Linked DNA regions of Saccharomyces cerevisiae S288C. Changing the gene in region 2 together with the main gene of any one other region gives a genetic interaction. Each region holds a gene or a part of one and is shown on either strand. Other genes may lie near its edges. The genes, in order: CIS3, CRH1 and MIT1.

The links.
Region 1: mutations in CRH1 (region 2) and CIS3 together harm fitness more than expected from each alone (negative genetic interaction), as found in Saccharomyces cerevisiae (one large-scale study listed by BioGRID).
Region 3: mutations in CRH1 (region 2) and MIT1 together harm fitness more than expected from each alone (negative genetic interaction), as found in Saccharomyces cerevisiae (one large-scale study listed by BioGRID).

What each region holds. Positions count from the first base shown.
Region 1 is NC_001142.9:121,765-124,792, forward strand, and holds CIS3 (Cis3p), read right to left. Parts: upstream 1,185-3,028; coding exon 501-1,184; downstream 1-500. Other genes in the region: cyclin-dependent protein serine/threonine kinase inhibiting protein FAR1, read right to left, coding at 2,072-3,028. UniProt on the Saccharomyces cerevisiae protein: Component of the outer cell wall layer. Required for stability of the cell wall and for optimal growth. Required for resistance against several antifungal and cell wall-perturbing agents.
Region 2 is NC_001139.9:876,059-879,894, forward strand, and holds CRH1 (transglycosylase), read right to left. Parts: upstream 2,135-3,836; coding exon 611-2,134; downstream 1-610. UniProt on the Saccharomyces cerevisiae protein: Dual chitinase/transglycosylase that plays a role in cell wall architecture. Chitinase and transglycosylase activities are coupled. Required for the polysaccharide cross-linking at the septa and the cell wall.
Region 3 is NC_001137.3:139,991-144,550, forward strand, and holds MIT1 (Mit1p), read left to right. Parts: upstream 1-1,901; coding exon 1,902-3,902; downstream 3,903-4,560. Other genes in the region: YEL008W (uncharacterized protein), read left to right, coding at 522-902; YEA6 (NAD+ transporter), read left to right, coding at 4,337-4,560. UniProt on the Saccharomyces cerevisiae protein: Transcriptional regulator of pseudohyphal growth.

The DNA.
Region 1 (3,028 bases), on a different chromosome or scaffold from region 2:
TCCTTTTCTACTACTACTCTAGTCGCATCCATTCCTTTGCATTTATCTTTTCTGCGGTTGGCCAATCCATTCTTCCGAGAATTTGGCTAGCCATACTTGATGTTTTCCCATTATTGGTTCGTTTGGCAATGCTAATTTTCTTAATTGCCCCTTATATACTCTTCCATAAAATGTTTTTTTTATAACTAATTTTCTGTATATCATTATCTAATAATCTTATAAAATGTTAAAAAGACTTGGAAAGCAACGAGTGATCGTGACCACATAATTGCCTCGCTACACGGCAAAAATAAGCCAGTCCTAATGTGTATATTAAAGGCTGCATGTGGCTACGTCTATTAAAAAAAAAATATTTATCTAAATAAAAGAAACCTTCTTTTAGAGAACCTTAAAAATGTAATATACAAATCATTCATACCAAAATCTTTTTACAAATCATAATCTTTTTCTATTTCTTTTCCCTTATAAAAGGTAGAACATTAGTACTTTGATGTAGCTATTTAACAGTCGACCAAAGAAACAGCTTCCAAATGAATGGCACTACATTGTTCGGCGACGTTTTGATCATACAAGTTGTAGAAATTGCCGGATAGACATTGGTAGAAAACGTCACTGTCACCCAAAGCCAAGTAACCATCTTCAGTAATGGACCAACCGGCAGCGTAGATGGCGCCGGCTTGTGGTGGTGGACCGTCAAATTGGAATTGTCTGTTAGCAACAATAGAACCAATTCTACCCTTGGCATCAGTCAAAACACCGTCCTTCAAGGTCAATTCTAAGGTACCAGAATTCTTACATGAGCTATCTTTCAAAGATGGAGTGGCACAAGAAGATGATGTGGCATTAGTAGATGTTTTAGATGCAGAGGAAGAGATCTTTTCGGAGCTGGTTGGGGTAGCGGTAGTAGTAGCTTGGGCTTGACTATCGGTGGCTTGAGCAGTAGCAGCAGAAGTGGCTTGGACTTGACCGTCACCAATTTGAGAGATAACGTCTCTCTTAGCTTTTGAAGAGGTAATAGCTTGAACAGCAATACCAAAGGTGGTAGTGTATTCGGCAGCACCACAAGAGATGGAGCCGGTTGGGGTTAAGGTGGACCATGGTTCACCTGGAGTGTAACCTTCAGCAGAAGCAGTGGCGGATAGAGCAGCAACGGAGGCAGCTAGGGCGACGTTTTTGAATTGCATTTTAGATGTAAGTTTAGCGAGTGAAATAGTTTTATGTGTCTTGATTTACAATTACTACTGCCAAAAAGAGAAGGTTAAGATAGACCCACCACAAGATAGATTGGCTCTCTTTCCCGAATACTTATATACTGACTGTTTGGAGATGAAACCTTCGAGAATTTTTCACCCACTGTCAACCTATTTCTTATTTTTGTTTTTGTTTGTGGACGTTTAGCTTAAATCGGCGCGAATTTTTTTGGCGCAGTACACGCTGACCCGTTTCTTTTGGGCGACCGTGTCTCGACCGTAGCAAAAGGGGAAAAAGAAAAGCTGGAAGGGCTAGGCGGGATCTGGCCCGTGGAAATCGTATGGAATGCATAGGCGGCCCGGCCAGGCACCACGGAAAAAAGCTGATTGTCCTCTTTTACGAGCCGTGGATTTGCAGGAAGAAGCAACGCACGCATGGAAAACACGTGACCTGAAAGTCACCGGAACAAATTAGCCACATCGACGTTTCTTTTACTATACAGCTCGAACAAGCTAACTTGAAATGCTACAACCATGTTGGTATAATTGTGTACAGACACGTGCATTTTTGGTACGAAGAGGGTTACCCGGCTGCGAGTTTTTTTCATTATGAACTAATTCAGGGAAATAATCCCGTTCGGGAAATAGATAAACAACGCCAAACGAAAAAAAATATATAGTGCATATATGACGAGATTTAATTATCGCCAATAGGTTCTTTCTTAGGCAAAATTAAAGTTTACTCAATTTCTATTTATACATTAACTGCTATTTACGACGCATTATATATATTCAGTCATTGCGTAGTATAGACGTGGAGAAACGAAAAAAAAAAAAGGAAAAGCAAAAGCCTCGAAATACGGGCCTCGATTCCCGAACTACTAGAGGTTGGGAACTTCCAGGGTCTGATGAATTCTTTGCTGCTTTACCAGGTCAAAATATTCTATTTCTATCAAACTAGAATGCGGGTGTTCATCCATAATTAGACGCGTTTTTTGTTCACCCGCAGCCATATCCCCCAAATATACTTGCTCGAATGTAGCTTGTGGTAGACGAAGAGTTACATCTAGATAACGCTTAGTGTGCAGCTCCTCTAAAAACTGCTTAATGCTAGCGTTCAATGGAGTCATGCGGCGTTGCGAAATTTCGTATCTCCAATGGTAAGATAACTGGTCAAAGGCCTTTTTTAATTTCTGATCATGCTCAATGTCAACAACGTCACTCCCGTTGAGGACCAAGATTTGCTTGGCGTATCCAGTTGCAATATGGTCATCTGTATCCACGTATGCACTTGTTGACGCTAATCTTTCACAAGTTTGTAATGTTACCTTATACTGTTGCTTTTCATCGCGGAAGACGTTTGGATTAACCACTTCTAAATTATCCAAGAAAGTTGTCCATCCGTCCCAATTTTTATTTATCATTCCGATGAAGGTGCCAAATGGGCCTACTACACCGGATCCATCTCTTCCAACAACAACTATTCCCAGTAAATCGTCTGTGTTTAATCCATCCAATATTTGATGAACACTCTTTAGAACTCTCTTGCGATACAGTTCCCCATCAGCATGCGACAAATTCAAACATACAATAAGTTTTAGCGGCGTATCACTGTGCAATCTTTTCCACGGTAGACGAGAATCATGGGATTGTGCTGATATAACATCAGGCGGCGCTCCTAAAGCGCCTATTATATTCACATGAGAGAGTTCCTTCACTGTAGAAACAATCTCACTTAATGGTAGTGTCTCCAGTGAAGAATTTTCTAGACAATACTTCCATTTGGGAAGCAACCACTTTTCGCAGTTTTCGTTGAACCTCAAGTATATTTCAGGTAT
Region 2 (3,836 bases):
AAGTTAGAGGAAGCTGAAATGCGAGGATTGATAATGTAATAATGAAACATATAAAACGGAATGAGGAATAATCGTAATATTAGTATGTAGAAATATAGATTCCATTTTGAGGATTCCTAGATCCTCGAGGAGAACTTCTAGTATATTCTGTATACCTAATATTATAGCCTTTATCAAACAATGGAATCCCAACAATTATCTCGAAATTCACCCATCTCTCAGAATTATTCACCCAAATCTCAGAAGACTAAAAAAGAAAGAAATGTGGATAATCGAGTCTATAGATTCTTAATTACATATTAAACCTGAGAGGTCAGATTTCCAATAATAGAATAGCCTTGTTGGCGCAATCGGTAGCGCGTATGACTCTTAATCATAAGGTTAGGGGTTCGAGCCCCCTACAGGGCTTTCTTTTTTTCTTTAAAACACGATGACATAAATTTCCTTTGTATGAACCGTACCCTTAATAATAAAAGGAAAAATCATGCTTTAGGTATAAGACTTTCTGTTGTATTAAAATTTAGTATTTATTTTTATTATGCTATTATTTTTTTCGGTCTCAAATGTTACTTAGTGATCTACGAATATTGTTCTAAAAGAAATTTTCCACTTATAGCAAGGCTAGTAAAGCTACGAGTACGGAAAAAAGTTTTCCCTCTCTTGGTAAACTCTGAGCTAAATCAGCACCGTTAGAAATTTGAACAGAGTTTGTCGAGCTGGCTTCGGAGGAAGAACTTTGGATTGTAGATGTGTATTTGCTTGATATCTGGGTAGTAGAACTGGTCACGTCATTACTTGATGTTGCGACACCACCCTTATCTTGTACAGGACTGTCCGATGATACGGAAGATTGTTGAGTAGTTGGGGCAACTGTAGACCTAGTGGTAGAGGAAACAGTGGCTGGGGTCTTAGTGGAGGAAATAATGGACTCACTTGTAGAAGAGGAAGCCACTGTTTTCTTGGATGAAGAGGAGGATTGCTTTTCGAATGAACTAATGGAACTAGATGTGGTGACTGATGAGGAAGCAAGTGTTTTAGATGAAGTAGCGGTCGAAGAAGATGGAGATGTGGATGAAGAGGAAGATACAGAAGACGAAGAAGATACAGTGGAAGAAACCGAGGAAGACACAGTGGAAGAAGCCGAGGAGGACACAGTGGAAGAAACCGAGGAAGATACAGTGGAAGACGCCGAGGAAGATACAGTAGAAGAGGATGTAGAGCTGCTGGAAATACTACCACCGTTGGCTAAAACTGCGAAATCTTCTTGGGCTTGGTCATACCTGCCGTAAATAGAACCACCGTCAGCTTCAATAGATTCCCAAGAACCAGATTGGTCACCATATGTGTACTTTTTACCGGTAGAATAATCAGTTACAATGACCTTTTCAATGTACATAGTGAATGGAGCGTCATTGTAGTTGGTTTCACCACCAGCCCATTCAATGGTACCAGCAGCATTGTCTGGGTCACCACCGGCCCAGATACCCATCATTAGGTACATAGGAGATTGTGGGTAACCCTCACTTGATGTGTTTGATAATACTCTGACAGACTCTCCATCGAGGTACCAAGTCGTCTTGTCCATCGCCCAATCTAAAGTGTAGTTATGAAATTTGTCGGTAGGAGTGTCGACACCGTGAAATTCGCCTCTGTCGTATGTTGTGGTATCACCTTTAGAAAAGAAGTTAGATTGGAACTGAGTGTTGTCACCACCCACCCATTCAATATCAATTTCATCCAAATCATCACTTTGTAAATAGAATGATGAAACAATACCGGTACCATTGGCAGCTTTTAAGATAACTTCCAATTTACCATACATGATATAAAAGTTAGACTTCAAACTTGGATTATCGTATCTTTTCGCCAGTGTCATTGACAAACCGTCTGAACCGTACTTGATTTCACCTGCGTGCTTCAAGTCGGTAAACCATTTGGATGAAGATGAGAAATCTTCGCTAAAACTAGTTGCCAAAGCTGTATCCGGCGTACAACCTGTAGTTTTTAACGGGTTACACGAAGCAGTGCTAGAAGCTGCAGTTGTACTGTCTGCAGTAGCAGTACTTTCGGCAGCCGCGAATGTAGATAATAATGAAGAGGCACTGAGTACCGTTAGTAGGTCAAGCACTTTCATGGTTTTTTGCTGTATTGAATTATTATGAATATTATATTATCTTAACCTTTCTCTTGCTATTTAGTAGAAATGTAGAATATGGAGAGGAGTAGGCAATTATTGAAAGTTCCAAAAGTGTTTCACCTTTTGTTCTTTTTCATGTTACTAACCAGCAAGTATTTATATAACATCCATTGTTGCATGAGGGAAACCAGTAACCATACGCTCTAATTATATCACATTCCCGATTCGGAAACATTGCTTCTTGATCGAGCGAAAAGAAACTGCCCTTGCAATTAATAATGTCATTTTCGTATCCCATACCACGAAAAGCAAGCCCTCAGAGGTTCTAATGCATTATAGCTCAGATCTATTTTTACTTTCCTGGAAAACGCCATCGAAATAGTCGCCAAAAAAATCGATGGGCTGGGAAAACGCGTCATCAATTCAACCGAATAAGGAAAACTAAGCCACTTCACGCGGTTCGCGATATTTGTCCAGCCTCTTTTTCCGAAAAAAAAAAAATTAAATAATAAAATGAAACGGACAGGAATTGAACCTGCAACCCTTCGATTGCAATCTTATTCCGTGGAATTTCCAAGATTTAATTGGAGTCGAAAGCTCTACCATTGAGCCACCGCTTCATCTTGAAATATCGAAGATATAACATTTTACTTGTCTGCCGAAATTCTGTGTTTGCTATAATGTTTGAATTAGAATCTCTTAAAATAGCTACTCATACTTCTTCATAACTAATCCATTAGTGACCATATGAAGTAATCGGACGCCACACATCATTGATGTTTCACGATGGAGAATGATAACACACTAAGTGGCATTGTGGGCAAAGTAAGTTAAACACCTATTGCTCAAATGATCAACTTGGTGTTTGCACATATACGGATGTAAGTCATGACATTGAAATCATAATATGCTTTCATGATAATCATATGAGCATGTTTAATATTACTAATAAGGCTGTATTCTATACTTCTCTTATATAGAATAAGAAGATCTGCATTTATTCTTGATTGACACTACAGTTCAACAATTAATTACCAACAGAATTAATTACTACCTATCGTTCACAAGCTACTACGTTATCATACACAATGTAAAAATATGACACAAAAATGGAAAACCGTCATCAGATTTAATGGGGCTGAAACACAAGAATTCATAATGTGATAGAATAATGGGTGAAGTGTATAAAGAAGAATATATAATATTACTGTGTAGAAATATCAATTTCCCTTTGTGAGTTCTCATAACCTCGAGGAGAAGTTTTTTTACCCCTCTCCACAGATCGATACTTATCATTAAGAAAATGGGACACCAAGGTTACGGAAAAATCTACCCGGTCTACCTAATTACTCTCTTGGCGCACTAGTTTTCCGAAAAAAACAGGTAAATTCTTCTTTAGATAAAGATAAATATAAAACTTCACAGCCATTCACTCACACAAACTAGTCCCTTAGGGTGCGTATAATGATCTGTACATCTTATTTCTATATATCTTACCGTGTATTTTTTCTTTTCTCAATTCTTGTTCGCAAATAAAAAGATATTCGTGTTTGTGGAAGAACACTAGTTCCGTTTTGTATTCAACCTGGAAATTTACAATAGATCTTCATCATCGTATGTCTACCATGTTAATCTCCCGTTAAACTGTTTCACGTTATCAAGATTATGTCATCTATTCCTGGGCGAACATAATTCCTTA
Region 3 (4,560 bases), on a different chromosome or scaffold from region 2:
AAAAAAAGTAAAGGACTTTAATTAATAAGGGAAAATAAATTTTCTCTTTCAATAAATTTAACACATAATTCTCTTAATAATTTTCTAATAATAATCTACTTTAAAAACAAAATATAATCGGTTTAGCAAGCCATTTTTCAATGATCTTTAATTTTTTAATACGATACTGATAATAACTTAATAAACTGAACTAAAATAAAATATTTTGTTTTGATTGCGAAGTAGATGAGTGAGCTGTGTGGCTGGTGAGTTGTATAATTCGCTAGTGAAACTGATGGGCAAAAAAAATTTGAATTTAGGGGGGAGAGTAACCTGTGTTGTGAGTTTTTGTTTTGTTTTGTTTTGTATATCTATTATATAAGAAGATAAGTACTGTCAAGAAGTAGAAGATTTTAAAAGGTAAGACAGCGAGCCGAAACTTCTTTAAAGAAGACTAAAATTTCGGAATTGGAAAAAAAGGTTGGAGTATTTATCTTCCGTATTTAAAGTCGGAAATTTTTCATCTTTTTTTTTCAAGATGTATGCTCATGCACTTTATTCCCCGAAGATCTTCGAAAGCAGTTCAATTTAATTGGCTGGAGATTGGCGTTTGGAGAGGCGGTGTGTATGTCAAGAAAGGCATTGTCAACGCCCGGACAAATAATTCTAATTTTTACAAGATGCCGGTGGTGTTCGGCATTGTAAAAGGTATGGGTGCTTTGTGCGTCCACGCATGGGGTATGGGGTATGGGGGCATCATCGATTGTTCTCCGGTAACGGAACACGGCAATATTTCTGTTCTACAGCTTGAATACATGCCGTGGATCTGTTTATCAAAGATAATGTCATGTAGCGTGGCAAGTCGACACAGCAACGTGTGGATAATGGATGAGACGATAGCGCCACTGGTTGGTTGTTTGTAAGCTTCGATTGGTAACAGTGGGCTAAAATAGATTGTAGTTATACCCCCACGTTTGCTGGGTCTCACGATCCATATCAGACTGCCCGCGTGGGGTTAATTCTGAGGTGTTGAGCCAGCCAACTCAGACGTTTTGATGACGAAGAACAGAAGATGCAAGTCTTCTACGTATGCAATGATCTGTCCAACTCACCGAAACAAGAAAAAATTTTGCGTTTTTTTTTTCCTACAAATCCCCCATTTATTCGGAAGGTGTGGGTGGAGGCGTAGTTTTTTGTTTATTTTTTCCCAATTTACGTAGTCCCGCAGGTCGGTTTTCCTCTCAGTCTCCGTACATTTCTTATTTTTTACGTTTAAAGTTCGTTAACGAGGCAAAAAATGGCCTGTCTTCCTCCTTTTCCGCCGGCAACTGTAACTGTAAACTGTAAAATTGTAAGTGTAATTGTAATTGTAACTGTAATTTTAACGCTGAATTCTTGCGCGCTCTCGTTGGTTACTATCTTTTCTTCTTAATCGAAGTGTGTACAGTTATGTGCCGTTTGTTTCAATTTGGCTGAATCTTCCTCATCTTGCCCCTTCTTTGGTGTTTTTTTTGCGCAACTCAAAACCTCGTTACTGCATCAAATTTAAATTTAAGCTAGAGAGAAGGTAGTGAGAAAGCTATTTTGTTTATTTGTATTTTTTCGTTTCCCGATCGTTTCCCTTCCATTTCTGTTTTCGAACCCTTTTATTTTCTATCTGTGAATTAGACAGCCTGTTCACCGGTAGCCTTTTGATTGTTTGTTTGTCTTTTTTAAGATTATCAATATTATTTAATATCTCGCCTCAACTATCGACAATATAGCCTATTTTCTTCTCTTTTTTGGTCCGCCTCTGTTGTACGCCATTTCTATACTGTGTTACTAGGATAAAATAAATACCTGTACTGCATCATCTTTCCTATCACCATCTTTTTCCACAAAACAACATTTCAACTAGACACAAGGACAACGTAAATTTCTAAATGGATATCGAGCCTACTTTCAAAGGGTACATTGAAGATGAAGATGACGCTTTGCTTATTCTTCAAGCAACTTTGGATGGCAAGTTAAAGCATATACCAAGAAGGCCTTATGAAATAGAAAGACCTTATTTGATCGTATCAGGTAGTATATTCGTTTTTATTGAAGAGATATCGGGCATCAAGAGATGGACTGATGGCGTTTCTTGGTCTCCATCAAGAATATCAGGCAAGTTTCTAATATACAAGGAACTAGACAAGGAAAACGCCGGGTCTAATGCTAATGCTACTTCGAGTGGCAGTACTGATTCCGCCGTCATTACGGATGGAACTTCTGGCGCGAGAAATAACCCTTCTTCGTCGAAAATCAAGCTACCTCCTTTGAAGAATCACCAGTTTGATTTGCCACCTACTATGGGCCATTCAAGTTTTGAGTCAGAGCAAGACACCTCCATTTCTCCATCAAACCGTTCGAACTTACCTTTAAAGTATACTGGCCTGGTGAAGAAGACAATATCTGTGAAGCTGAAGAGACCTCCATTCAACTCGATTGAAAATTTACATATTGTCTCTTATTATTCTGTAAAAGATATAAAACAAAATTGTCTAGTGACTCCTAAAGCTTCTCCTTTTTTGAAAGATGTTAGACCTTCACAGGAACTAATTGTCGCGATGGGAAATACAACCTTAGGCAACGTGAAAAACAATTCCACTACCACCGGTAATGGTCCTAATAATATAAACAATAAAAGCAACTCTTCCACTCCCCTGAATACTGTTATTTCCACGAATAACAATAGTGCTAATATAAATGCTGCTGGCAGTAATCAATTTACTAGTGCAAACAAAAATTATTATTATAAAAATGATGAAAGCTCTGGATACCCAATCACTCAATTTGCTCCCGCATTACCATCAACAACTTTGATGTATACGGCGAATCCACCTTATATCACTCAATCTCCTGATAACACTAACGCTACTGGTATGAATACACATGTTAATAATAACAATAATAATAGTAATAACAGTAGTAATAGTAATAATAGTAACAATAATAATAATAATAATAATAATAATAATAATAACAATAATAATAATATTAATAATATTAATAATGTCAATACTAATGCAGGGAACGGTAACAATCCAAATAGATTCCATAACGCCTCTTTTGCTTATAACACCACCGGTGACTTTATTAATCCGCAACAACAAGGACAAATTTCTTATCCATTTTATTATACAACAATTCCGATAAACAATCCTAACTATTATACCACACAACCTCCAAACCCTGTAACAAACGCTTCAACGAACGAGAATCAAGGCTATTCCACCTCCTCAACTCAACACCCTTATTATGGGCATCCTACTGAAAGTCAATCAGCATCAGCAGCCGCAGGCGCTACTGGCACTCCTGGTACAGCCGAGAATGTCCTTCCCGTATCCAGTATGCAGCCACTACTCCATCAAGCCAATAATAATAGTGCAAGCTCTGCTACCTCTACAGCTCCTTATCCGGTGTATTCTATGAATGTGAATGTTCCTTATTACAATTCTTCTGCTTCTGCATACAAGAGGGCACAAGAAAATACTACTTCAAATACGAATGCAGAACCTTCTGGTGCTACAAGCACTAACTCAGGCACCATGCTATCAAATCCTGCATACGCTAATTCTCAGTACACTCCATCGCAAGTGTATTACCAGGGATTCCCCCAATATGCCATGGCAAGTGCTCAAAATCCGTCTATGTATCAACACCAGCACCAACATCCTTTGCCCACTGTATATCCAATAGCGACGCCTCAACAAAATATAATGAGCTCTGGTCACACTTTGAGCACTATTGGATCTGATCCTCAACATCATCACTATCAACAAGAGCCCAACGACCACAAAAACTTCGCTATGGGTCACGCGAACAATAATATCTTAAACATCACCAATAATGATACGATGAACAACCTCAATACAAACACTTCAACTACTACACAATAAGTAAATATATTTTAAAAAAGTACTCCGATTTTCTTTTCTTCTCCTTGCCTTTTTGAGTATCGGGTTTACTCATGAAAATTATATCATTTTTCATTTTACAGTTTTATATACTTCGCTTCTTTACGTAATCATGCCTTTAATTTCATCTTCATTTGCCTATGGAAAAAAGCTATTCCTTTTGACATCATAAAATATCTTTATTAAAGAATCCCCTCTGTCAACATTTTCTACGAAAGATAGCTTAGTGTATTTTTTGAAGATGCTGTCGAAAATGATTCTCGACATACTCGCGCTGGTGGAAAAATGAAGTGGAAAAGATAAGCAAATTGATATATAAGCAAATAAACATATAATTTGGACGTACATCGAAATTAGTTGTTCTCAACTTATTTTCATTGTTTGATGAAAAGCGGAATATACATCACGGCTATATAATGAATAATGGAGACAATAAAACGACATTAGAAAACTCAAAAAATGCGTCACTAGCTAATGGAAATTATGCGATTCCCACAAAACTAAATAGGCTGAAAAAGAATGCTGACCCTAGAGTTGCTGCAATTTCAGGTGCTTTATCTGGTGCACTATCCGCAATGCTGGTCTGTCCTTTTGACGTTGCGAAAACAAGATTACAAGCACAAGGTCTCCAAAACATGAC